Arabidopsis thaliana: one gene and its partners. The protein of the gene in region 2 interacts with the protein of the main gene of each other region in a pairwise test. Each region holds a gene or a part of one and is shown on either strand. Other genes may lie near its edges.

What was found.
Region 1: the proteins of CAK4 (region 2) and CYCD6;1 interact in a protein complementation assay, tested with the Arabidopsis thaliana proteins (one large-scale study listed by BioGRID).
Region 3: the proteins of CAK4 (region 2) and E2F3 interact in a protein complementation assay, tested with the Arabidopsis thaliana proteins (one large-scale study listed by BioGRID).
Region 4: the proteins of CAK4 (region 2) and CYCD5;1 interact in a protein complementation assay, tested with the Arabidopsis thaliana proteins (one large-scale study listed by BioGRID).

The regions. Positions count from the first base shown.
Region 1 is NC_003075.7:1,430,658-1,436,069, forward strand, and holds CYCD6;1 (Cyclin D6;1), read right to left. Parts: upstream 3,205-5,412; 5' UTR 3,035-3,204; coding exon 2,834-3,034; intron 2,736-2,833; coding exon 2,652-2,735; intron 2,579-2,651; coding exon 2,483-2,578; intron 2,402-2,482; coding exon 2,194-2,401; intron 2,124-2,193; coding exon 1,993-2,123; exon of another isoform or gene 1,907-1,992; coding exon 1,718-1,906; 3' UTR 1,187-1,717; downstream 1-1,186. Other genes in the region: AT4G03260 (Outer arm dynein light chain 1 protein), read left to right, coding at 1-80, 182-774.
Region 2 is NC_003070.9:24,892,202-24,898,471, reverse strand, and holds CAK4 (CDK-activating kinase 4), read right to left. Parts: upstream 3,950-6,270; 5' UTR 3,698-3,949; coding exon 3,596-3,697; intron 3,510-3,595; coding exon 3,211-3,509; intron 3,136-3,210; coding exon 3,027-3,135; intron 2,145-3,026; coding exon 2,019-2,144; intron 1,944-2,018; coding exon 1,708-1,943; intron 1,632-1,707; coding exon 1,457-1,631; 3' UTR 1,213-1,456; downstream 1-1,212. Other genes in the region: SGA2 (ASF1 like histone chaperone), read right to left, coding at 4,924-5,289, 5,363-5,478, 5,778-5,886.
Region 3 is NC_003071.7:15,117,333-15,124,524, reverse strand, and holds E2F3 (E2F transcription factor 3), read right to left. Parts: upstream 4,937-7,192; 5' UTR 4,838-4,936; coding exon 4,562-4,837; intron 4,526-4,561; coding exon 4,376-4,525; intron 4,046-4,375; coding exon 3,859-4,045; intron 3,807-3,858; coding exon 3,765-3,806; intron 3,725-3,764; coding exon of another isoform or gene 3,671-3,724; intron 3,587-3,670; coding exon 3,412-3,586; intron 3,286-3,411; coding exon 3,234-3,285; intron 3,136-3,233; coding exon 3,077-3,135; intron 2,996-3,076; coding exon of another isoform or gene 2,945-2,995; intron 2,839-2,944; coding exon 2,790-2,838; intron 2,670-2,789; coding exon 2,604-2,669; intron 2,515-2,603; coding exon 2,438-2,514; intron 2,265-2,437; coding exon 2,021-2,264; intron 1,895-2,020; coding exon 1,825-1,894; intron 1,730-1,824; coding exon 1,632-1,729; 3' UTR 1,341-1,631; downstream 1-1,340. Other genes in the region: HVA22J (HVA22-like protein J), read left to right, coding at 31-87, 195-258, 362-496, 606-689, 796-1,101; EMB3114 (Mitochondrial transcription termination factor family protein), read right to left, coding at 6,343-7,192. UniProt on the Arabidopsis thaliana protein: Transcription activator that binds DNA cooperatively with DP proteins through the E2 recognition site, 5'-TTTC[CG]CGC-3' found in the promoter region of a number of genes whose products are involved in cell cycle regulation or in DNA replication.
Region 4 is NC_003075.7:17,676,648-17,682,540, reverse strand, and holds CYCD5;1 (cyclin d5;1), read right to left. Parts: upstream 3,374-5,893; 5' UTR 3,045-3,373; coding exon 2,802-3,044; intron 2,722-2,801; coding exon 2,635-2,721; intron 2,551-2,634; coding exon 2,241-2,550; intron 2,166-2,240; coding exon 2,017-2,165; coding exon of another isoform or gene 2,011-2,016; exon of another isoform or gene 1,936-2,010; coding exon 1,753-1,935; 3' UTR 1,277-1,752; downstream 1-1,276.

The DNA of each region.
Region 1 (5,412 bases), on a different chromosome or scaffold from region 2:
GGTGATTGAGGGCCTACGTGAACTCACTCGGCTTCGAGTATTAGATTTGAGTTACAACCGAATACTGAGACTTGGTCATGGTATGGCCCGACCTTTGCTCATCGACATTTCCTAGTTATCTGCTTTTATATGAAAACCATGTTTGATGTATTTCCCTTTTTCTTATTTCTTGTTGACTTAGGTCTGGCTTCGTGCTCCTCTCTGAAAGAACTATACCTAGCTGGGAACAAAATCAGCGAAATCGAGGGTCTTCATCGACTTTTGAAATTGACGGTCCTGGATTTACGCTTCAATAAGTTTTCAACCACCAAATGTCTTGGCCAGCTCGCTGCAAATTACAGTTCTCTTCAGGCTATAAGCTTGGAAGGTAACCCTGCACAGAAGAATGTTGGTGATGAACAACTGAGAAAGTACCTTTTGGGACTTCTGCCAAATTTGGTATACTATAATAGACAAGGCACTAAAGATGCTCGGCTCGGGACAAGCACACATCAGTTGGACCGAGGCCTTAGATCAGAGCTCAAAAACAGTAGCCGGAAGAGTAGCCATGGTGCATCCAGTTCTCACAAACCTGGATCCTCCACAGCTCGTAAAGCACCAGCATTGCAGAAACGGTCCAAGGAGAGACGCAGCCGTCTTCCACCTGTGGGACACAAACTATCTCCAGCTGCTTACGAGAATTATCACGTTGCTACTGGTGATAGATTGTCTAGTCTGAGAACTGAGCTCTCCATGCGAAGAAGTCGAAGTGAAGGAACTCTCGGACCTATCTGATCTCTCTCTCTCCCTCTTTCATTGCCTGCGATTTCCTTAGCGAGGTAACGATGAAGATGTGATAGATACACACTTTCTTCCCTTTATTCATCTTCTTCATCTTTGTGTTTTGTTGTTGTGCATTACATACATCAGAAGCTTTGATTCTTATAGCTTCTCAATAATGTCTGAAATTGGAAACCATGGTATACATTCTTTTCAGCACAGTCTGAGTCTTGCAATTGTTTTCATTAAGTAATGGGCTTGAATGGATCTTGTATATCACAATCTTGGGCCGTTATGATGCTAGTGGGCCTAATATGGGTTAGTGCAAGGGATTCATTTACAGTAAGAACAAAAGCAATTGAATGATTTAAAGACTGTGTAAAGTGGTCCAAAGAGTATCATATTGCCTGCCTGCAACAGAGATTCTGGCAACTGGATCCATATAAGTCGGATAACGAAGTCTCATAAGACAAAATCTTATTCCTGAAAATTGAATTCATTGTTATCTCGTGACCACATTTGTTCATTAATAAATAACATAACCATAGGGTTATATACACTACACAAGAACAATATTTATTGATTATTCCCCCCAAGTGAAACAACTTAACTCCACAAGCCAAAACTGTAAATACAGAACATGATTGATAGGTAGATAGATAGATAAATACTACAGACTGGTAATTTGTTTTTCTTTTGAATTTTTTGAGTTTTGTGTTGTGGTCCAAAGGAACAAGCAACGGAACAGAACCCGAGACTTTGTCTTTGATCATTCATCACTCTCTTGTCTTCCAGGAAGAGAGAAATGGTTTATTTTTGAAGCAGAAGAAGATGGATGGAGATAAGGGGAAAGGAAGCAAGTGTCATTTTCATAAGGGGACCAGAAGTGGTTTTTGAAGTAGCTAAGTGATTGATTTCATCTGACGATTATGTTTGACCATTAACCACCTTTTTCAGCTTAGTAACGACGAGTACTAGTTTTCCTCCTCTTAGGTGAAGAAGAAGCTGTGATTGTGATGCTCTTATCGCTTTCACAACTCGAGAATTGCTGATCAAGCACATTTACTGCTGTTTCAGTGCTTCCTTCGTTTTCTCCAACTATAATATCTCTCTCTTGTATTGCTTTGTAACACTCCATTAACTCATCCTGCAACCACGGTTTAATGCTCGCTTAGTACCGCGATGAAAAAAAAGCTCGATTTGAGATGGTTTACTTGTTCAAGACTTCTTTACCTTATTTACATATGTGCATTGGTTGATTCTGTTACTGAAACATGGAAACTGTAGAGGACAGAGCTCGAAAGAAGCAAAGAGAAGTGCCGCGCCTGCAATCACCGATGGTTTAAACTCGAGGAAACTGATATCTGCAGCGTTTTCAAACAGATTTTAGCATATTGTGATTATGTGATTGAAGAAAAGCAATTCTGTATTTACCATGTTGAAGACTGAAAGTAAGATCACTGGTTTGAGATTTGAGGGAATGTTTTAGTAGTAAAGGATCTTCTTCTTTGAGCTCAAAGAGACTAATGAAAAAGGCCAAAAAGGAGAAAGGAGTAACAGAGCGCATCCTCCATTTAAGAGCTCCTAGAATCACATTCTCCATTCTCTCTATCATCTGAGCATCAAAAAACTCACCTTCCACCTGAAAAAAATCCAATGTTCAGACACTTATCAACACTTTAAAACACATTCACATTATAAAGATTCATGAGTTTTAAGTTACCGGAAGATCAGAAACAGACATGTCTGGTTTCCTCATTTTTGCAGACAAAGAGACACAAGAGAGAGATATGAGCTTAAGAATCCAGGGCTTTGACTGCTGTTGACAAAACAATTTAGTCAAAACTCAGATGAAACAAAGGACAGATTCTGTCGGAAGATTCTGTTTTTACCGGCATATCTTCGCTAGACAAGAACCTGTCTAGATAATTCACAGCAAGATACGTCAGAGATGGGTCGTCGAATTTTCTTGAATACTGCGATTGTTCAGTTACAAATTAAAATAAAGTTAAGTCTTTCGATAACGATTCAGTATTCAGAACTAAACCCAGAAAATAATTTTGGTTAAAAAGACCTGAGTGATTGAAGAAATGGCTTGGTTTCGATTAGAGAGAAGAAAAGCAGAGGACTTGAGGCTATGGAAGTAATGAGAAGAAGGCATGTGTTGAAACTCGACGAGGAAGAGAGAGTGTGGTAAAGTTTCATAGTCTGTGTCGTCGTTGAAGTTATTGTGGAGTGAAGAATGTGAGAGAGGATGTTCAAGATGAAACTCCATTGATTGATGATAGACTCTTCTTAAGCTTCCTTCTTTCTTGAATTGGTGTTAGAAGATGAAGAAGAAGAGAGAGGGACAGAGAGACATTAAAAGAGAGAAGTTGTCTTTATTGTGAGATAGAGAGAGATGGTTTTCGGTCTTTTGAGAGATTTTCCACATTTATTTATTACTACCACTTTGGTTATTTTTTTATTCGATTTTTTCTCATTGATAGTAAGAATTAAGATTTTATCAAAGATAATCAAATCTTTTTCAAGAGATTCTTCTTTTGCAATATTAGAAGGAAAAAAAATCCAATATTCTCTCTTAAATTCTCTATAATCCTCTGTTTTTAATTAAGTGTAGTTCAATAATTTTTTATTTTTTTCAATATAAATGTTGTTTTCACTTTTCTATGCAAACATTAAATGTATTTAATAGTTTTTAACCAATTATATTTTGCATCATATTTTTTTATTGGTTGGATTAGTTGTAATTAATGGTGTTTTTATAAGAAATAGATAAATTAAATGAGATTTGTATGTTTTCTTAATTTGTATGCAAAAACCTTAAACTACAAATATTCATAAACAGAGCCGTTTGTATTAAAAATTTATAACCGTAAATTATTACTTAGTTGTTTAAAAAATATGTAATACACTAATACGTGTAATGTTTTTATTAGATTTTATTACAAATTAAGTCAATAATTCAATAAATAAATAAAATTGCATTTTAGTATTAATATCAAGTACCAAACAATTAAAAAATCATATTGAAAAAAAAACCAGCATAATATATATAGATATTACATTTTGTTTGAGTTTTAGATCATGTAAATTTAGTATCATGCTAAAAAAAAGTTCTTCTATGAATTTTGTGTGTGTTAAAGTTCTTTCATGAATTTGGTAAGACCCAACTTTAAAATATACTAAGGCTGGGGAGATTAAATATGATAATAACATATACTATCGTTAAACCATTTTATTTACCACATAAAGTTGTCATTTACTCATAAATAGAGCTGATGTAATGTACAGTTTTATGTATCAAAAGATTCGTCACTTTGGAATCTCGTCCAAACAGTTACAAACATTGATTAACTTTAGAAATCTTTTTAAGTCTTTGTTTTGTTTTTAATCATCATTGTATCACACATTTTAAATTACTAATTAGGTTGTGACAGCTTGGTTTTCCTTGTCCTTAAGTCTTTGTACTTACCTTTTGTTAGGTTTTGAAATTCCCAACATATATATTCAGATTATTTTTTTTAAGTCAATAAAGAAAAATTGAGAAGTCAATGAACAAACTGCCATGTGAAAACGCCATTTGAACAAACTTTTTGTTTTTATTTTTTTACTTTGATCTTTTACTGCCAAAGCCTGACTGGTCTATTTTTAGACGGAAAAGAAAACATTAATTTTATGTAGAAAATGTGAAATGCAAAGGCCTTTGAAACTCTAGATATGAACGAAATGAAAGAAAACATTGACTGACCTAACAAACATAAGAATTTATATGCTTGTAACGTAAGAAAAAACAGCTTATTAGTTTTTGGGGGTATTAGTATTTGTCCAAAAAAAATGTTTTGGGAGTATTAGCTAATAAACAACAGAAAAGTGTTGATAATAATATAGTTTCTTGTTTTTTAAACAATATAATAGTAATATGTTTCATAGAGAAAGAGTGACAATTTTTTGTTTCTTTTTAACAAATGCCAGATTTTGAACCACTTTAAAGAATAAAAAAATATTAGATATTTATTGCAAAAGAAGTAATTGAATCAAAAAACTTTTAAATAGTGGAAATATATACCCTAAATTGGAAATAAAAACCCCAAATATAATACTACAAACTAATTTTAAAATGAAAAATCTCTTTTAAATGGTGAAAATATATACCCTAAATTGGAAATAGGAAACCCAAATATAATACCATAAACTAATATTAAAAGGAATCAAAATTTTTTTTAAATAGTTAAAATATATACCCTAAATTGGAAATAGAGAACCCAAATATAATATTTTAAATTTATTTCTAACTTATTTTGGTTGAATAGATTTTATATAAAATTGTGGTATTATTATTGTCCATAAAATTGTGGTATTATTATTTGAGTGCTATTTATGTCTAAAAAACCTTTTAATGCTATTTTTATCCAAAAAACTTAAAAGTGTGCTATTTGTAGGAATTTCTCATTATAAAATGGGTACTAGTGAAGATTGAACAAATATATCACCTAAATTCTCAAACCAACCTACTTTGTTTGAACTTTAAAATGATACTTCTTTTGCTCTGTTTTTATTTTCTTACTTTCTTCCATAGATACATTACTACTTTGGCTTTAAATGGATACTAAAAAAGCGACTAAACTATAAGCGAATTACTCTATTAAATTT
Region 2 (6,270 bases):
TTCATCGGCTTGAAAAAATATCATTTTGACACATTTCATACAAATTAAAAAAAATATATATATATACATGAGTCCATATTTAATAAGTGATTAGTTTTAGAAGTCTTTATGAACAAATATAAAATTATAGAAAAACATTCTTTATGAAACCGAAAGAGTAAGTATTTGTAGTAATGCCAATTGTTTTGGAATTTATTTTTTTAGTGGGCCAATGAAATATGTATGGATCGCCAATAGGAGTGGAAATTGCAGATATTGTGAAAGCCTAGTCCCTATACAACAAGATCACTGCTTCCCAATGAATATTAATCACAAATTGACAATATGAATATGATCAACCACTGATTAAGACACTCACGTGTACATATATTTGAATTATTATTGGTTCATAGTCATGGAAAAATGTTTAGAGTGAGAATTTAGTGCAATTATAATTAAACATTAAATGTGTTTTCTTTAGAAAAATTAGTTTTTTCTTCGGTCAGTGTTATATCATAAATTTAAGTTTATTGAAGATAATTTTTTTTTATCAGTTTAAGGTTCGAAGGAATTTAACGTCAATAGATATTAGACATGGATGAGGTCAAAAGATGGCTTCTCGTTTGATATTTTTTTATGGTAACTACTTTGTAGAAAAGCATTACGAAACGCAATTCTAGAAATTAAAGTCATTACTGTATATACCTCTCCATTAGTGATTATAGTCAAGGAAAGGAAAAAAGGAAAGAGCTATATTAATGTATATGCCTGGAAGACTTGAAAATTAGATATCTATTATAGATAGTTTAATATTAGGTAAGTATGAAAGAGAAAAAAATTAAAATCATAAATTTCCTTTTTCATTTTGTTTAATTTACTAAATATGTCATTGTCTCAAAACACTATTTATTACCGGATATTTTAGACATGATACTGTTCATCAACTGCCTGAAGACACTATTCATCCGAAATTTACGACACTGTCGTATTTATCATTGGATTGCATAAAATATTTATGATTTATGTGGATAACTATTTGATTAACATGTTAACTAGTATAGTATCGTGCTAAATATATATAACTATTTGATTAATATGTTAACTAGTATAGTATCACGATAAATTTTTATATATCGTATTAAACCATTTACCATATCATACAAATTAATATGAAATAATCAATTTAACTTTATAATAACATGTTATACTGAATATAACGTGCTAACATATTAAATATCTGAATAATATTTATATTAATATGGTAAGATAGTTGATATATAGTGAAATTATAACAATAGTTGATACATGACATATTTGGTAAATTAAACAAAGTAAGAACTAAGAAGGACATTTATGGCTTTAAATTTTTTCTCTTTGATAGTTAACTAATATTGAATTATCAATGGTAAAAATCTAATTTTGAAATCTTCTGGGCATATCCATTGATATTTTCCAAAAGAAATGAAACATCATCTTCTCAAGTGAATCCTTCAGGACCCATCACTCTCCTCATTTTACCAGGAGGAGACAGTACCGCTGGGCTATTTCCATGTTGGTTTTGCTCGGAGGCCTTTGGTTCGAGTGCGTCTCCTTTGGAAGCTGGAATCTGAAGCTTCCCTGGCTCAGTTGGTGATGGAGAAGACGAGAAATACCTGATGAAAAAACCAATGATAATCAGAGTGATGAAACAGAATTTTTGTCCCGTGGGTTTCTTTTTCAAGAGTATACCTGTGGTCTAAAGCTTGTTGTATTGTGATCCTTTGACGTGGGTCGTAGATGAACATTTTTGCTAGAAGATCCAAAGCGTCATCACTTGCCATAGGGAAAATGGTACGTAATGGTGGAGCGGGTGTATAGGAGAATTCCATGTAGTCTGGGAGATAGATCATGTCAGACCATTGGGAAGGTACTGGAGTACCAAACGCTTGAAAGATCTTTCCAAGTTGATCAATCTCAGTAGAACCCTGAAGAAAGTATAGGAAATGTTTAGAGAACTACAGACTTTTTAAACATGAAGTACGAAGGGTATAGAGCATTACCGGAAGAAATGGTCTACGAAGTAGTAACTCAGCAAAAATACAGCCTGCAGCCCAAACATCAACTCCTGCTCCATACTGTCGACTCCCAAACAGTAACTCAGGCGCTCTGTACCATGTAGCAAATACCTGTGTGAATAAGTATAACCAATTTAAACTTAACGAATCTTCCACAAGCAGATACAAATAGCTAACCAAATGAGATATCTACACAAGTTACACAACCAATAAATCTCAGAATCTTTCTAAAGTAACAATGTTAATACATCCGTAAGTAACAAAACTGTATCTGGTGACTTTGAACCATCAATCTCTCATCTCACCAAAATCGAAAAACACAGGTATGCAAGAATCAAAATTAAAACCGTATGATGTCTTCTTAATACTCTGTATCAATTTTTCCATATCCAGCAAAAAGAGACTTCTACAGAACTAATCAATTGCAGAATCTTCTTGAGTCAAAATGTTAATATGACCGTAATCAACAAAATGCTATCCGGAAACTTAAACTTGTAATCACCAACCGAAACCAATAACATAGGTATGCAAGCATTCGAATTAAAAACATAGTATGTCTTCTCAATGCACTATATATACTCTTAGTTTGTCCCAGCAAAAAAAAACCAATAGATCATCAAGAACAAGACTAATCTACCTGTCAATTCAAACAAAAAATAGAAGAGATTTCTTCATAACTAATCAATCTCAGAATCTTCTAGGGTAAAAAAATGTCAATACAATCTTTCACCTCACCAAAACCAAACACACATAAAGTATGATATCTTCTCAATACTCTGTACCGACTCTTCATTTTGAGCATAAAATTCAAAATAGATCATCAAGAAGAAGTACCAAGATATTTACTACAAACTCCAGACTAATCTAGCTACCAATGCAACCATAAATATCAATAACTATATAAATACCTAACCAATAAATCCAATAAGATCATCAAGAACTACACTAACCTAGCTACCAAGCTCAAAACCGTATCAATCATAGCATCAATACCTGATGAGTAAACCTCCGATTCGGACTCCCAAACAACCTCGCCAAACCAAAATCAGCCAACTTCAACAAACCATTCTCTCCAATCAACAAATTATTCGGCTTCATATCCCTAACAACCACACCAAAAACAAACCATCAACACAATCAAAATCAAATCTTTATAAACCTAAGCATAACTTCTTACCTGTGAAGAACCCATTTCTTATGACAATAAGCTAAACCCTTCAAAGTCATCAACATATAAGACTTAATATCACCAGGAGATAAAAAGATATTACGATCACGAATCACTGCTTCTAAATCTGTTTGCATATACTCAAAAACTAGATGCAAACTTCCATCGTGAGGGAAAGCATCAATGAGTTCAACGATATGTGGATGATTCAGCTCTTTTAGTAGCTTGATTTCTCTTAAAGCTGTGAAATTTACTCCTTCCTTTTGGTTTCCTAATCTTATCTTCTTCACTGCTACAGTTTTCCCAGTCTAAGGAAATCACAAAATCGAAGATTGTTGAGTTTGAAAATCTTGATGAAATTGAAAACGAAATCGGGAAGGGTTTTTGATTTTACCTTTGTGTCGGTGGCTTTGTAAACGACACCGTATGTTCCTTCTCCGAGGATTTGACGGCGGAGGTATCTATCAACTGGTTGATTATCGCCGGATTTCGACATTGGGTTTAGATTCTCCGGTACACTTCGAGGAAGTACGAGGGCTCCTAGTGAAACACTTTTAAGAAATTGAATTCTTTGGTTTCAATTTTATACCCGTAAGATTTTGTGTTTTATGAAACGAACCTTATATTTATGAAATAATCAGAAACAGCCATATGATACTGTGGATAGCATAAATATGCTAACACTCGTGATTTGTTTGCAGGAAGTGATTCTACATGATCATCAGACCCTAGATAATTTAACCCTCCACCTCGAACTATTGATGATTAATCTTATCGAGTAGAAAATAATACACAATATAAATATCAAAGTAGCTATTTTTTACAAATTTACCATTTACCTAAAAAAAATATAAAATAATTTTACGAAATCCAAAATAATAGGTAATATAATTCTTATTCGTTATTGTCAAGTATAGGAATATATTATGTATTATTAGGTATTTAAAAACAACAATCTGTTTATTATAAAATATCGTATTTATTCAAAACATATAGGGCTTACTGGGCTTAGCCGAACACGGCTTTTATAATGTTATTGAGTTTAGTAATTAGATCTGTATTAATAAAAGTTTGAATAAAATATTTTTTAATATTTTAAAAGATATTTTCTTTTAACAAAACAAACATTTTTTTTTTTTCAAAGTAATCGAAATGGAGCCGTTTTTAACTATCTTTCGGTTTACCACAGAGTAAAATCGTTAGGCGAGAAATTGTAATGTGTACTACTTTTTTTTTTTTTTTTTTTTTGGTGAATAAATGCGGACTCATATTTTTGGCAGAACAACTGTGAAACGGTCCTAAAAAAATCACGGACTCATGTTTTTTTGGTGAAAGAATTATGGTTGATGATGATGATAATCATCATCATCAATGCTAACTATGACCATTTAACGGCACTTTTTTCAACAAATGATGAAGATCAAATGTCGCTTTGTACCTTGAGAAAATCTAGGGAAGTTATTCTACACCTATTACCAAATTCCAACCATCAGAACTCAGAATCTTGTTTGGCAACTGTTGGCTTTGCTTCGATTTAAAAAACCTTTGCCCAAAACATAAACATACAAAAATGTCAAGAATCACTTCCCTAAAGCCTCTAGAATTAAGTACAACAAACAGCATATAATGCTTTTGAAAGACAGAAAAGCAAAGCGCAACATCTGTGGAGACAATAGTTCTCAATTCTCATCCACTTTTCTTCAACTAGACTTGGTATAAGGATCATGATTCCTCAGGTTTTGGTTCTACTGACTGATCAGGTAAAACCTGAGCTTCACCATTGACATTAGGTTGTTGTTCATCAGATTGTTCAGGAGGAGCGGCAGTAGCAGCAGTCTGCTCTTCTTCTGGATGAAAATCTATAGGAAATTTAGTAACTCTAGGTTTGTCGGAAAGTATGTTCCTCTGAACTTTATCAATCAAAACCTTAGTTGGAGGCTCTTCCTTGAGTTGCTCATCCTCATAATCATTGTTCACGTAATATCCAACTCTCAAGAACTCTTGACCCATGTAAGAACATGTCAACAATAGCACAGTAACACCGATGATGTCTTCCTCCTGAATCTTTGATGGATCCGGAGGATCAGCCTGTAACAGTAGTAATAGAGAGTTAGACCAAGACTTTGTTGGTGCTTGGAAGAGGTAGTAGTGCATATGTTACCTGAAATACAAAGCGGTAGTTGCCAACATTAACAGGCCCTACAAGCACACTCTCTAGAAGTTGATCATAAGTCTCATCTTCTGCTGAGCCTACATAGATAAGCTTCCATTCCAAATCTGTACCACAAGCAAAAGCACGGGTCTATCTAAGTTATCCTCACCCTATAACAATGTTAACCAAGAACTTGTGCATAGATAAATCCAACTAATAGACAACAAGACTCTAGATTATCAATTAGAAAACAAACCATTAGAGCATGACTCTGACAAAGCAATTAGGTAACAATATGTTCCAATTACAATCAGCAGCAACAAATTGGTGTTGAAAACAATCCATAAGAATCAGCAGAGACTAAAACCTAAATAAAGTCGAGATGAATTACAATTCAGGGGAAGGAGAAAGAGGAGATTTTTACCGTCTTTGAGAGAATTCAAACACTCGTAAGAAATCTCGAACTGAAAAGGGCTAACAAAAGGAGCAGGATTATGCAATACAGCGACGTTGGTGATTTTGATTGCACTCATTATCTCTAATCAACAACCAAGTCGGAGAAAAACCCTAGGTTTCAATAAACTTCATCCAAACTCGGGAGAGAGAGAGACCCAGATGAAAAAGTTTCTCCCTTTTCAAAAAATTCGAAAGCAGATAATTCAAGAGAAGAGAGAAGAAGGAAGAGCTAGGGTTTTTTTTCCCCAGGAGAGAATTAATCAAAGAAGAAGCTTCAGAGTTTTTTTTTTTTTTTTTTTTTGATTAAGAAGACGATGAAAATGTTTTCAATTTTGGGGATGGCTTTCTTATAACCGGTTGTCGTTGGAATGGTGACCGGCTACTACCGGTTAAGTTGAATTGGCGGGAGGAATACTTTAACTCACGAAATGCAGCAGGGAAATTTGCTAAATATTTGATAA
Region 3 (7,192 bases), on a different chromosome or scaffold from region 2:
TTTGTTAAACATTTGTATTTGAATAATTAGGATACTTTTGGCGCTAATTTCATCATTCGAGAGGGTTGGCGATTTTTTTATCTCATGGTAAGTAAGTTTTATTATTAGTTAATTCATGCCTTAATCCATCTCTGTCTTAAAAAATATTAACAATCATCAAATAATTAATTGATATATGCAATTATTATTTGCAGGTTACCGTTATACGGAGAGATGAAAGTAGTCTTCTTCGTATATCTCTGGTACCCTAAAACAAAGGTAATATAATTTTTCCTTTTAAAAAGTGATTAGTTGGATCATAATTAATTAGTGGTTTATGGTGATGTACAAATAATAATAACGAAATAAATAATGAATGAAGGGAACGAGACATGTGTATGAAACATTGTTGAAGCCATACATGGCTCAACACGAGACAGAGATTGACAGAAAGATCATGGAGTTGCGAGCTCGAGCTTGGGACTTTTTCATCTTTTACTTCAACAACTTCGCCCAGGTCCTTTTTTAAATTATCTTTCTATTACTTATATATACAAATTGTTCTTTTTAAAGGTTTGACTAAATTATTATAAGATTAACAACATACATATAATGTTGATGCACAGGCCGGTCAATCCACCTTGATCCAGGGTTTTCAGTACGTACTCGCCCAATCGGTCCGGTTCTCTGCCGCTGCAGCTAACCAACCGGTACTTTTCTATCGCTTTTGATTTTCGTTTTATGTACTAATGCAAACACAATCTTGTGTTTATTACCTCCCTTTTGCACTTTTGAATTTTTGTGTTTGTGCTAAAGCCAACGGAGAGGAACGTGAACATGAACGCGCAGTCACCGGTGGAGATGGACAATGATCCTCCATCACCGCGCGCTCCAAGACCGCTGAACAAATCACTATCTGCGTTGCGATCGCTAGAGAAGCAAACAAGCAGAGGGAGGAAGTGGCCGCCACCAACACCACCACCAACACCAGGCCGAGACTCCGCCGGAACATTTAACGGTGATGATGGAGTCAACATTCCTGATACAATTCCGGGATCACCCCTCACTGATGCTCGAGCTAAGCTGCGACGTTCTAACTCCAGAACTCAGCCAGCGGCATAGTAACGCAAACGTACATATACGTGACTCGACAAAGAAACCCTTTTCGTTTGTTTAAAGATATATAGGGAAAGAAAAGTGAATGAAAGTTTTGAATTGAAACAAAACAGATTTTTTTTTTTTTTTCATGTTTTCTGTAAATTGAAGCAGTAAGTATTAATACAGCGAGAATATTTGTGTTTGTTTTCGTTTAAACTTCCCGCTTTAATCCGGATATTGATTTGAGTTTGGATTTCTTCATATAGCTGATTATAAAGATGCATTTGAGTGGTCAAAAATATTATAATCAAATAGTGTACCAATGCAGCCGATGAAGTACATTCTCTGTTAAACTTACATTAGTTTCTCGGTGCTCCTCTACAACATCACTCTAGGCGATAAATGAATCATAATCTAATGGTACATTGTATGGAACGCACCTGCCATTGGTTCATACACGTTCTGTAGTTGCTCCCTCCTTGTATATGATTTTAGGGAGTGTTGTGAGGTAACACATTTGGGATCAGAAGTTGAGAAGTGTGCTTGGTATTCGATCATCTCGGGGTTGAGTCAACAGCTGTTGGTGCTATTTCGCCCATTCCTGGTGGTGGAGTACTCACGTCGGCTATTCCATAATCCCAATCGATACCAGCTTTTGCTAGAGTTAAGGATTGCGTATTTATATCTTATGCAGATAGATATAGTTAACTATAAGAGAGAAACAAATTGCATATATGCAAAGGATACAGTCAGTTTTCCAAATATCCGTCATGCTAATCTCAGCATTTGAGAGAAGCCAGTAGTCCGACTCATCATTCTGCAAAATACAAGACCAATATCAAACAACAATTATGAGGGTAGATTTTGAGTCAGGTTAATTAGTTTCTCTGCACAACTTCCTATTTCTATGTTCATTATAAAAATAAGCAGGAAGATGGCTTACTTCAACATCAGAGGGAGTAATCTTAAGCATTCCTCCTACTTGCTCTTGCAAATAATTAAGATCAGAGGTATCGCCGGGTTGAGGATGAGGATGATCATGAGACACAATAGCAGTTTCTGGGTTGTCAACAGTTAAGGCTTCGATGTCATGGTGTCCTGTAGATCCTGAGCTAGAAGCAATAGGCAAGCATGCTGGTGGTGCTGCACCACTCCCATTTGTGTCTTCGAATTTCCCTTCAAATTCGCTGAACATGAAGACAAAGTAAAAGCATGTAAACGGGACAATGAATGTTCCAAATCATAGAAATCTTTGTTTTGATACGTTCAATTATATGTATACCATCATCAGTAGAGTATATGAAGTCACGGAAAATGCCAATAACAATGTTTCTATTATTTGAAGCCAACGCATAAATACCTGACGAGGTATACGTCAATAGGTCCCATTGTACTTCTAAGAATGATCCTGTATCTCCTTTGTGGGTGGTCAGCCGCCTGTCAAGTAAAGAAGAAACATTATAATAACGTTTTGGAATCTAACAAAGAATGGCAGATGTCATCCAAGGTCGCTGAAAAAGACTAACTTCATCTGGATCAGGCACTTCCAAAGTTGTGCCATGAGGAGCTTTGACGGCTATCAGAGTCTGGTTCTGCAGAAACAGCAAAGAGAGAGTTAAGATATAAGTGAACAAGAAAGTCTTGGGATCGACATACATACAATCAATTGATCAAATTCCTAGGATTAAACATATGAAATAGGAAAGACAGACCTGGAAACCTGGTAAACTCTTGATATCCTCTTCAGTTACAAAAAGCCATCTGGACAATGTGAACGGATTGGTTAAGTGTCCATCATATAAATAGCACCATCTCATAGCCAGAACAAACTAGCCATACGAAAAGATAGATAGACAGAGATTTATACTTCTGATTCTTTTCATTTTCGCTCAGGTCTCTTAATCTTTCCTCTGTTTGTCTGAATAAAAGTTGTTAAAGCGTCAGCATTGGTTAAATAGATTAATCACAATAACCCAAAACTCTTTAAATGAATGCTTACCTGATTTGGTTGTCTAATGCTTGCTCTTCGAGGGCGAGGTTTTCAATTTCTGCCTGCAGCTACAAAACAAGAACATTAATCAAAGGAAGCGAGAACTACATGATATTTTAAGATTTACATGCACAATGACTTTTGAGTGTATGCTGTTTCACTACACCTGTAATACAGATACGTCAGCATCCTCATCGCCAGGACACGCATCAACTCCCCTAATCAAGTTTATTGATCATCAAGTGAGTTTACATGTAGTTAAATGCTTTCAGTAATATCCCAATGAAGCAGGATATGCTTTCAGTACAAAATACATAAGCATACTATATCATAAAAATCCTCACTTCCAAAGTATTCGATTCTTGAAAGGCTTTTCAATGAGATCTATCCCCTCCAAAACGTTTGTAATATCATATATACGTCGTTTCTGCACCTCCAATGTTTCTGCAGCTTTGTTTAGGTCCAGCATTCCATCTTTGGCTTGTTTAATTAGATTGACGAACTTTTTTGTAAGGAGACCTGAACAGCTTTTATGTCAGCATCTTCATATACACTATAACATGTATCGAATATTAAATATATATGTGAAAAGTTGTTAATTACCTAAAGAACTGTCATAACGACAACTTCCTGATGGAGTAAGTGTGATAGGAGAACCTGCAAGTTGACCAGGAAAGTAATCAGCTCTTCGACTTACTTGTTACTCTAGACATGAAAGATATTTCATAAAAGGATCTAACTATATAGAAAGGCCAAAAGGGGTAGAGAGTCAAGAATACAATTCTTCTTACCAGCGTTTGTCGAGATGGGTGTTTGAGGAGTTGACTTGTTTCCTTTGGCCTTTGACTTGATGTTGACTCTGCCCCCTTTTCTAGGAGTTTGACAGGGACTGCTAGGTATGTTAGTGAAACCAGAACTCGTGAATCCATTATTAGATGGAGCAACAACCATATCCATTGTCGCCTTTCTCTTTCGTGACTGCATATAAACAAGTTGTTATTAGCTTAAAGAAGTTGGTCAAAGAAATATCATCCAAAAGGTTTTAAAGCATCCACACACAAATTATCTATATCATTCCTCATAAACTTTCACAACATTGGGATCTACTTGAAACATTATACATTAACAAACAATGTCAAGCTTCATACACCAATACTTTGATATCAATAAGCTAATGCTCAACACTATGTGAACATTCAACACCTCACGCAACAATCAGAGCCAATTTGGCATGGCAATTGGAGAAATTGATGTCTGATTTGCGTCAATTGGGTGTAATTGAAACGCAGTGTTATGAGCAAAATGTACCATCGCGAAGCTAAACAAACGACAAAAATTGACACGAATCGACGATAATCTAACGCTGCGAAGCTTTTGAATCAGACTTAGAAGCAACAAGTAGCAATCGAAATCCCCAAAACATCCTCGAATTTCTAAACCAATCTCACTGGGGAAAATCTCTAAATCGAAGAATCAAAAGCACCCAAAACTCACAGGAGATCTAACAACGACAGCATCTTCCTCCCGATCTACAACACCACAACCATGAACGAAGCTCCTGTCGTTATTATTACTGAGCGAAGAAGGGTTAAATCGATGGTAATCATCGGAAGGATGAAACGGAGGTTTTGTTGAGGCGAAAGCTAAGTGACGACGTATAGGTGGTATAACCGGCGTAGATGTAACCGGAACCGGAGATGACGGTGGATGGTGCGGCGGCGGCGGTGGCGGCTGAGAAGAACCGGGAGAAGATCGTACGACACCGGACATGGATCGTAGTGAAGCGAGAGTCGAATTTGAAGATTCCGATGACGGGAAAAGCGACGGCGAGTGAAGGAAACAAGGGTTTTAGTGAGAGAAAGAGGAAGAAGAAAAGAAAAGGAGAGAGCAGAAAACGAGGGAAGGAGGGAATTTTATGTTGGGATAGATGTGGAGGGAAGCCTATAGCAATAATAAATAAAATGTTAAGGAAATAAATATATACTTTTTTTTCTTTCTATTTGTGCCCCGGGATTTTGTATTTAGTTTTAGATTGACCCTACTTACTTTAGGGAAATTACTTTTTGTGCCTTTTAGTAACGGGAATATTGAGATTCTTTTCTGTTCTTTATAATGGTGAAGAAGAGGAGATCATGCATATATATTTTTGATCTAGAACTTGTTTTTTGAATCTGAAATTTTTATTTAAATGTGTGTAGTCGGTAAACAGATTTCTGCAAATAGATTGGGATAGAGTTTGTTTATAGTACATGTGCTGCTGTTTCCGTTATGATATGTGTAATAATATTTTTATTTTTATTTTTTATCCTTTTGTATTGATTAGTGGTTGTTGTATCATGTATGGCAGTGGAAAAACTGATGCGAAGTGTAGATTAAGTCTAAAGTCACTTGATGAAGGATTCATAATTCAATTCAGTATTTGGAGGACTATAATATTGCACATGATTGATGTCATTAATTAGTATTAACGACAAATGAGTGATAGAAAATAGTTAGAAAGGGTAAATAGAAATTGGTAAAGACCTAGATTGGCAAAGTTTTCGTACCGCTTTTTTCTTGTCCTGCGCCGTTAGCTTATTACAGGTCACAAGAAAAATGGTTCACTTAGAGAGTGTGAGGCATTGTTGTATTGTAGTACCTTAAGTTCATTCATGTTCATTACGAGTGTACCCCATTTGAGCCGAGAGAATGTAAAGTCGTTATCAAGTTGAAGCCCAATAAAAACGGATTTAAGGCCCAAAAAAAGAAGGAGAACGGAAACAGAGAATCCGATCATAGACCACTGGCATTTCACGAACCATCAAAGGGACTAAAAGCTCTAGAACCAATTCTCCCTGTTAAGACTTAAGACCAATAACTAAACCGTTACGCTAATCAGTTCACACATTCATCATCTTGCCTCCAATTGTAGAATCACAATTCTCTGCAAATCGCAACTCTACACGGTTTCTGGACTTACATACACTTGATTTCTCGTTCACTAACAATAACTAGACCGAAATACATCGGAATCGTGAATTGTAAATGAACATTCTTTCTCTTATCAAGATTTAACTCACCATCCCTGTGTGTGTCTCAAAATGTAGGCAGAGGCTGGTTTCTTCATTCATTGAGTTCTTCATCATCATTCATTACAAAAATGTACCTAAAAACAAAGCAAACCCCATCAATTCTCACCAATTCTCCAACTCCATTAAACAAAAAAACAACAACAAAAAGCAAGAAACTCTCACTCACTTGCTTCCATGTTCTCCTAGCACACAAAACTCTATAAATCAAGAATCTTTTTGTACAGTAACAAGGCGAGAGGTCTTCAATGGCGGAGAAGAATCACAACATACCTCCAATGTATCTCTAAAACCAGCTTCATTAGTCTTCAACATCACCGGCAATGGAAACCTCACACCTTTCGCAGCACAAGCTTCATGTCTCGGTTTAATCCGATTCTCCAAACTAAACGAGAAATACTGAGGAAACTCAAGAACCTCTCTAACATCTCTCCCCATCTCCACCATCAAATACTTCAACTTCGGCTCATAATTCTCAGCAATACTGTAATTAAACAGCTGCGGGAATCTCTTAAACATCGCGGTGGCGCTCCGCCGCGAGAATCCTAACTTCTCGAAGTAATCAATCCGTGGTACGAGTTTATTGTCAACGCTACAAGAGAGAAGATACGTATGTTTATGCGGATCTAAGATTCCGATTCTCTGGAGAAAGTAAAGCGTTGGTCTAAGCTGGTGATCGACGCTACAAGCGAGAAGACGAGGACGACGTCGTAAAGCTTGACGGAGGTCAAAGATAGAGTCAACGCCGACTTCACGGAGGAGGAAAGTGATGACTGGGATTGTGTGTGAGGTTAAAGGTGAAGTGAGAAGCTCTGGACACATTGAGACGAGGCGGCGAAAGTCTTGTAAAGTGAAGTTTATTGGTGGAGTGGTCATGTAATCGACGACTGATTCAACGGCGGAGAGAGCGGTGGAGAGGAGAGGTGGATGACGGTTGATTAGGGTTAGGAAATCGATTCCGAGTGAATCGAGGTAAATGAGTTTCTCGTGGATTGAGGATTCTAGGGTTTCGGTGGTTGTTGTTGTTGTTGTGGTGGAGGAGAGAGAGGGTATATCT
Region 4 (5,893 bases), on a different chromosome or scaffold from region 2:
TTAGACCGGTAAAATATTCTATAACTAATTGTTTAAGTTTGTGATCGTGTGAATAAATGTTCATAAATAAAGGACTAATTAATATCTAGAATGAAAATAGAATTTACATAAAGATTAGTTATTTTTGTGATATTTCAATCTCACTAGTCATTAGTTTATCCATCTCCTAACCAAAGTGAGAGTTGTAACTAAATTGTGTTACCCGTGAATCTCACATATGTCTACACAAAACCCAACAGAAACAAAATGGTTTAACTCAATGATAATAAGCAAAAAAAAAAAATAACAATTGGGACATACTAATATTCATTGAAAGATAGGCAACAGAAAATTCAGAAGCATTAACTAGTTCTTGGTGAAGTAAAGCTTGACCCTTTATGCTTCTTGATTTGTTGAATAATCTCTTAGAGCAACAAAACATTGGCCTTAAACCACACACACATTATCTTTAATTATATTCTGTCAGTACTTTATGCTTCTTAATTTGTAAGAATGCATTTTGTTTGTAATAAGTCTTTTAATTCGTTGCTAATCATTTTGGAATTAAAGCTTTAATTAATGGAACCAAAACTTTGGATCCCAAGTTGTATTGTATGAGACAGTTGTTTCTCACTTAAACAAGTCGTTGGGTTGTTGTTTCTTCAGTCTATTACACATATGTTTTTTTTTTTTTTTCTCAACTGCATTTCATTGAAAATATTAACAATAATCCTATAAACACACACAAAAAAAACAATCTACCTCTATATGTACGAGTACGATGCACTTTTGACTTGCGCGTAGAATAGTACGTTAACTTAAAAACATCACATGCAAATTTCTGTATAAATTGGGGTTTCATCTTTAGATCCAATCATTGATCCAAAGTACTTCCACAGTTCCACTACAAGTTGTTGGTTTCTATAATGCTAAAGAAAACTTATTGGAGCAAAATATATATCCGTTTTAGTTTATCGTGATCGACTGATTGTCAATTCGTAAAAGTAGTTATCTATCAAAGATAAGTAACGATGATTTTTCCTAAACAAGAAAATTTTCTTTTTATTTGATTAATTTTTTTCCAAGATATTATATATTGAGATTTGAGAACATGAAAAGATCACGAAGGACTTTGTGGAATGGACATAACATGTTGAGTAGCATACAGATGGATTCACTTTGGAGATGACCAAAAGTGTCAATAAAGATAAGAAAATAAATATATTTATCAAATATAAAATAATTTTACCTTACCTTAAAAAGAGTTTTTTCATTTATTATTTGCTATGAATGAGCCCTTTTGAAAGTTAAAGAGGTTAAAAAAATGGACTTTGATGCCAAAAAAAAAAAAAAATCTATGACAAAATTTTGTAATATCAAATGAAAAAGAAATTGCAACATAACAAATAAAAAAATAAGACAATAAAAAAATAAAAGAGGATGTGAAACCAAATCACTGGCACTGCAACTATTGGCCTAAAACTATTCACCCTTTCTGTTTTTCTTATTTATTTACATTCACTCCTCATATTTCCTAGATTCTCTCAGAGAAGCCCCTAATGTTTTAATAGTCACATTTCATCCCCAAGAAATCCAAAGACCTTCATACGAAGAACCTATATGAGTTACTTCATAAAAATTGAAATAACCGATGTATTCAGACCATTTTTTCTCTATAATCAAATGATTGAATATAAAACCAAATCAATATGTTGCCAAAAAAGAAACCAAATCAATATAAGCCAAAACTTGAAGAAGAAAGAAACTCTCTCTTCATAGCCTACGCATTCTCTTGGCTGGTGGAGAACTTTGATCAGAATCATCAAAAGACAATCGGCGTTTAGCGCCACTTCCTGAAGCCGGCGGTTCGCGAGAAACCGCTATTTCCGGTGGAGGTGTCATATGTTTCCTCTCCTCAATCTCTAGCGTTCTCTGATAACACAAATATACATTTTCCTACAAAACCCAACACTCCTAAGATTATGATCATCAACATCAAACAATCAAAATCGAATAAAAAGACACCAAGATTTATACATTCTCATTAGAAGTCCACCAAGAGATCGAACCAAACTTGTTAGCTATCTCTTCTCTAGTCAATCTAATATCCGATGAGGTAGAAGAAGAAGCTAGCAATGTAGTAACAGCAGCAACAACAAACTGTCGATACTCCGTAAAACTTATCTCTACATGGAAACAAAAATGTGATATCAATAAATGCTTTGATCTTGAGAAAAAAATGTGTTTCTTAATAGAGTTACCTTTAGTTAAAGCAAGAAGAGAATCAGAGGATCTTAACAACACCAAGTCTTTAGAAACAGAATGGTTGTCCTGAGAGATTTTAGCAAGGAAGTAGTTGAAGTAATGAAAAGGAGTGATCAAGTTCATCTTCCAGTCCAATGTGGATAGAATCAACAGTTCAGTTTTACGAATGACATCGGGTTTGAAAACGAAGTCATGATCTTGAGGGTATTGTGATAAACCAGGAACAATACGTTCCTCCATTTTAGCAGCTAATGATAAACAAGCTACTGATAACAATCGCATCGCCCATGTTTCATCTTTCTGCAACTACAAAGAAACCATCTTTAAGCTTTAATCTGAAGATAAAGGTGAGATTTTTATAGATAAATGAAACTGGAGATTGAAACTTACACCGATGAATCTTTTGTGGAGAAACAGATCGAAGTATGAGATTGCAATGTAAGCTGTTTGATGTTGGAACCCAAATCTTGTTCTTGTCTGAGATTAAGACAAAGAACCAATCAATCAGAGATTAAGACAAAGATCAAAAAAGGGAAAATCTTTTTGAGATTACGGACAGTGAGAATCCAATCGATGGCAATCAATCTATCGGAAGACGACGTCGTTTTAGAGGGTAGGGTTTCGAATCGGAGATTCTCTTTAAGAACAAGGTCTGCCACATAATCTTCATCATCGATCGTAGTAGTAAAGTGAGGTTCTTGCTTATCAGATCTCTCAATCGTCTCGTCGTCGTCTTCGTTTAGAGAAGACTCCGATTCGTGGCAGAGGAAGAGAGCGAGACTGTCTTTAGGCTCACCCATTTAACGGCGGCGATGATGATGAAGACGACGGCGGCGGCGGAGATAGAAGTGTTCTTCTTCTTCTGCTTCTGCTTCGGTGGTGTGTCCGTACACATCAAAAGGGGAATTATAAAGAATTTGTGAGAAGAGTGTTTTTTTTTTAATTTATGAGATGAGAGGCAAAGTTATCGCAGTGAATATAGGGGAAGAATAAGAAGGGAAGCTAAATCATCGTATTTGATTTTTCTTCCATTACTCGATTTGGGATTTTAGGAGCAAGTGACGAAAAAACAAAGAAAAAAGAGAGAGAGAGTGGAGAGAGAGAGAGAGTCTCCCGCGTCTGGTGCCGCCAAAAATAAGTGGGGGAGAGAGAGGGGGCGTTATTTAGCGGTTACATTTAAATTAAAAATCTTTATTATTTGATTAATTTTAGGTTTTATTTGTTCACTAATATTTGAGTATATGTATAATATCATCACTCTTTTTTTTTGGGTCGACAAATAATCACATTTTTTAAAGGAATGATTACTCTTTTATTTTTTTAATATCCAGCAGGATTACTTGTGTTTGAAGACTTTTTGATGCTAGTCAATTATGGGTTTTTTTTAATTTAACAAAATTGTTTTTATCTAATAGTATTGTATTTTCTTGAAAAAGATTTCTGCTATTTCCATTAAACTGTTTTGTATTTTGTTGATTATTTAAGTTTAAGCAAATTTATTTTAAAAAAACTTTTTTAATTTCGGAGTTGTCTATGATAATGTGAACTTTATTGATAAATTAAATGTTATTAATAGAAATAAATACTTAATGCAGGAATGGAGAGCGTTTAGAACTATTGTGGCTGTCTTAAATATATGAGATTTACACGTTTTAAGAACGTCCATATATAAATGTCATTGTTTTTACCTGTTGAACTTCCTTGATTACACTCTAGATTTCTTACATGAACAAAGTTCACGGATTCTGTTAAGAATGTTATCATCAAACTTTTTCTTCTATTTATTTGTTGTTTTGTACAAATGGAATTTTCTTTCGGTCTCTGAGATAAGATTTATAGGATCCTTTGAATTTGTATCAATCATTTAGTTAGGAAAGAATAATGATCCCATTGAAATTTATGTGCAGAAAGTTAAATCCCATTCCAAATACAACGTTCTTATTAACATTTCTCATTAGTGTATTCCACGTACCACCCCCTTTGTTGCTTTTGTAGTAACTTCTATTTTAAGAGGTTTGAATTAAAATGTACTTTATTCAAAATAGAATTGTGAACAGAAAACAGAGGAATAGCTAGTTTAGTTATTTCCCACTTATTGACTTCAATTAAATTCAGACCTAGAAATTCATTTTCAATGGAAGAAAATAAAGATCAAAAGAGCAATTTTGCAATAAGTTTTTTTTAGGAATTGGTGGGGGAAACACCATACCATTCCCACTAAAAAAAATCCTCTCAACTTTTTAATTTAGTTCCATATCATTATTTTTGCTAAGTCATATACAAATTTTCCTATAGTTCTATTGCAATTATTATTCAATTTTTCTTCTCCGTAAATCTTTTTGTTTCCTCACTTTTTATAGTTATATTCACGGTAACGAGTAATTAGGCCTACGAGTAATGACTTCCATGTTAGGTGAGAAAGTTGTATATGACTCATGTAGTAGATGTTACGAGACACGAAGATTGTGTATGAAAATTTATACAGTACGTAGATAAGAAGAGTAGATATACGTAAGCAAATTCACATAGATTGTAGGTAGAAATATAGACAAATACTGAATGAGTATATTTATTGTAAAAATAGGTAGGTCTCGTTAGCGGGTTCCAAAACCTTATCATGTGTTAAATTTTGATGTATACAAGAAAAATTGAAAGCAGAATCCGATGTATCGTAAACCATCCGAATTATAACTGATTATCCAATTGGATGAAAGTGGAATTATACTATACAATATGTAATATGTTAAGAAAAAAAAAGAACAACAATTTACTAATTTGTACTATAATTAGTCTTGAACAAACTTAAAATCAAATAAATATTTATTTATCCATCAGCAAATGAGGCTCCCATCTTTATATGTTTCTGGTCCCTTTTTTGACAAATTTTTTAAAAAATAAAAAGACTTGTATATATAGGCGCATGGCTTTGGAGCCGAGTCATTCAATATATAGGATAATTAATTTTTCTATTATAGTATTAATATTTATAAGACTAGATGTAAGAAAAGGGTATAAAACCAAGAAGACGCAAGATCCAAAATCTGCAACTTTTATGTGTATGTTAGTGAAGTATCAGCAGCATTTGTTCGATCTCCCCCCTAGATACAAGTAATATTCTCACATTACGTATTTTACAGATTATTTTTGTATTTCCTTTTTTTAACTTCTGACTTGTATTATTGTGCATTTCTATGTATATATATACAATGATTACATTATGTTACAAATTTTTTTCTGAGATGTTTGTATGTAGTCAAGATGAGGGACCAATTTCACAATAACTTGAAAAATGCATTTCATCATTTTAGAATTTAGATGATGTGATCTGCAATTGCCAAGATTGACCGAAATTAGTAACGATGATGATGAATTTGCAGGATATTTTTTTATCACTTCAAAACAAGTTTTGGGTCGTTAGGCTAACTCGCTTGGTGAATATCTATGTCTAATTTGTTTTTTTTGGTGAAACAAAATTATTTTTGTTTTCTCGTGCTTTTCTTTCTATGATTGTCTTCCCTTGTTGATAAGGAATCAAAGTCTTTTGTGGTCTATTTCACGCATTTAATAAAATTACTATTATGTGGAAAATAAAATGTAATATTGGTAACTAAATATGACATTACATATAGCAAATGAGACGAAAATAAAT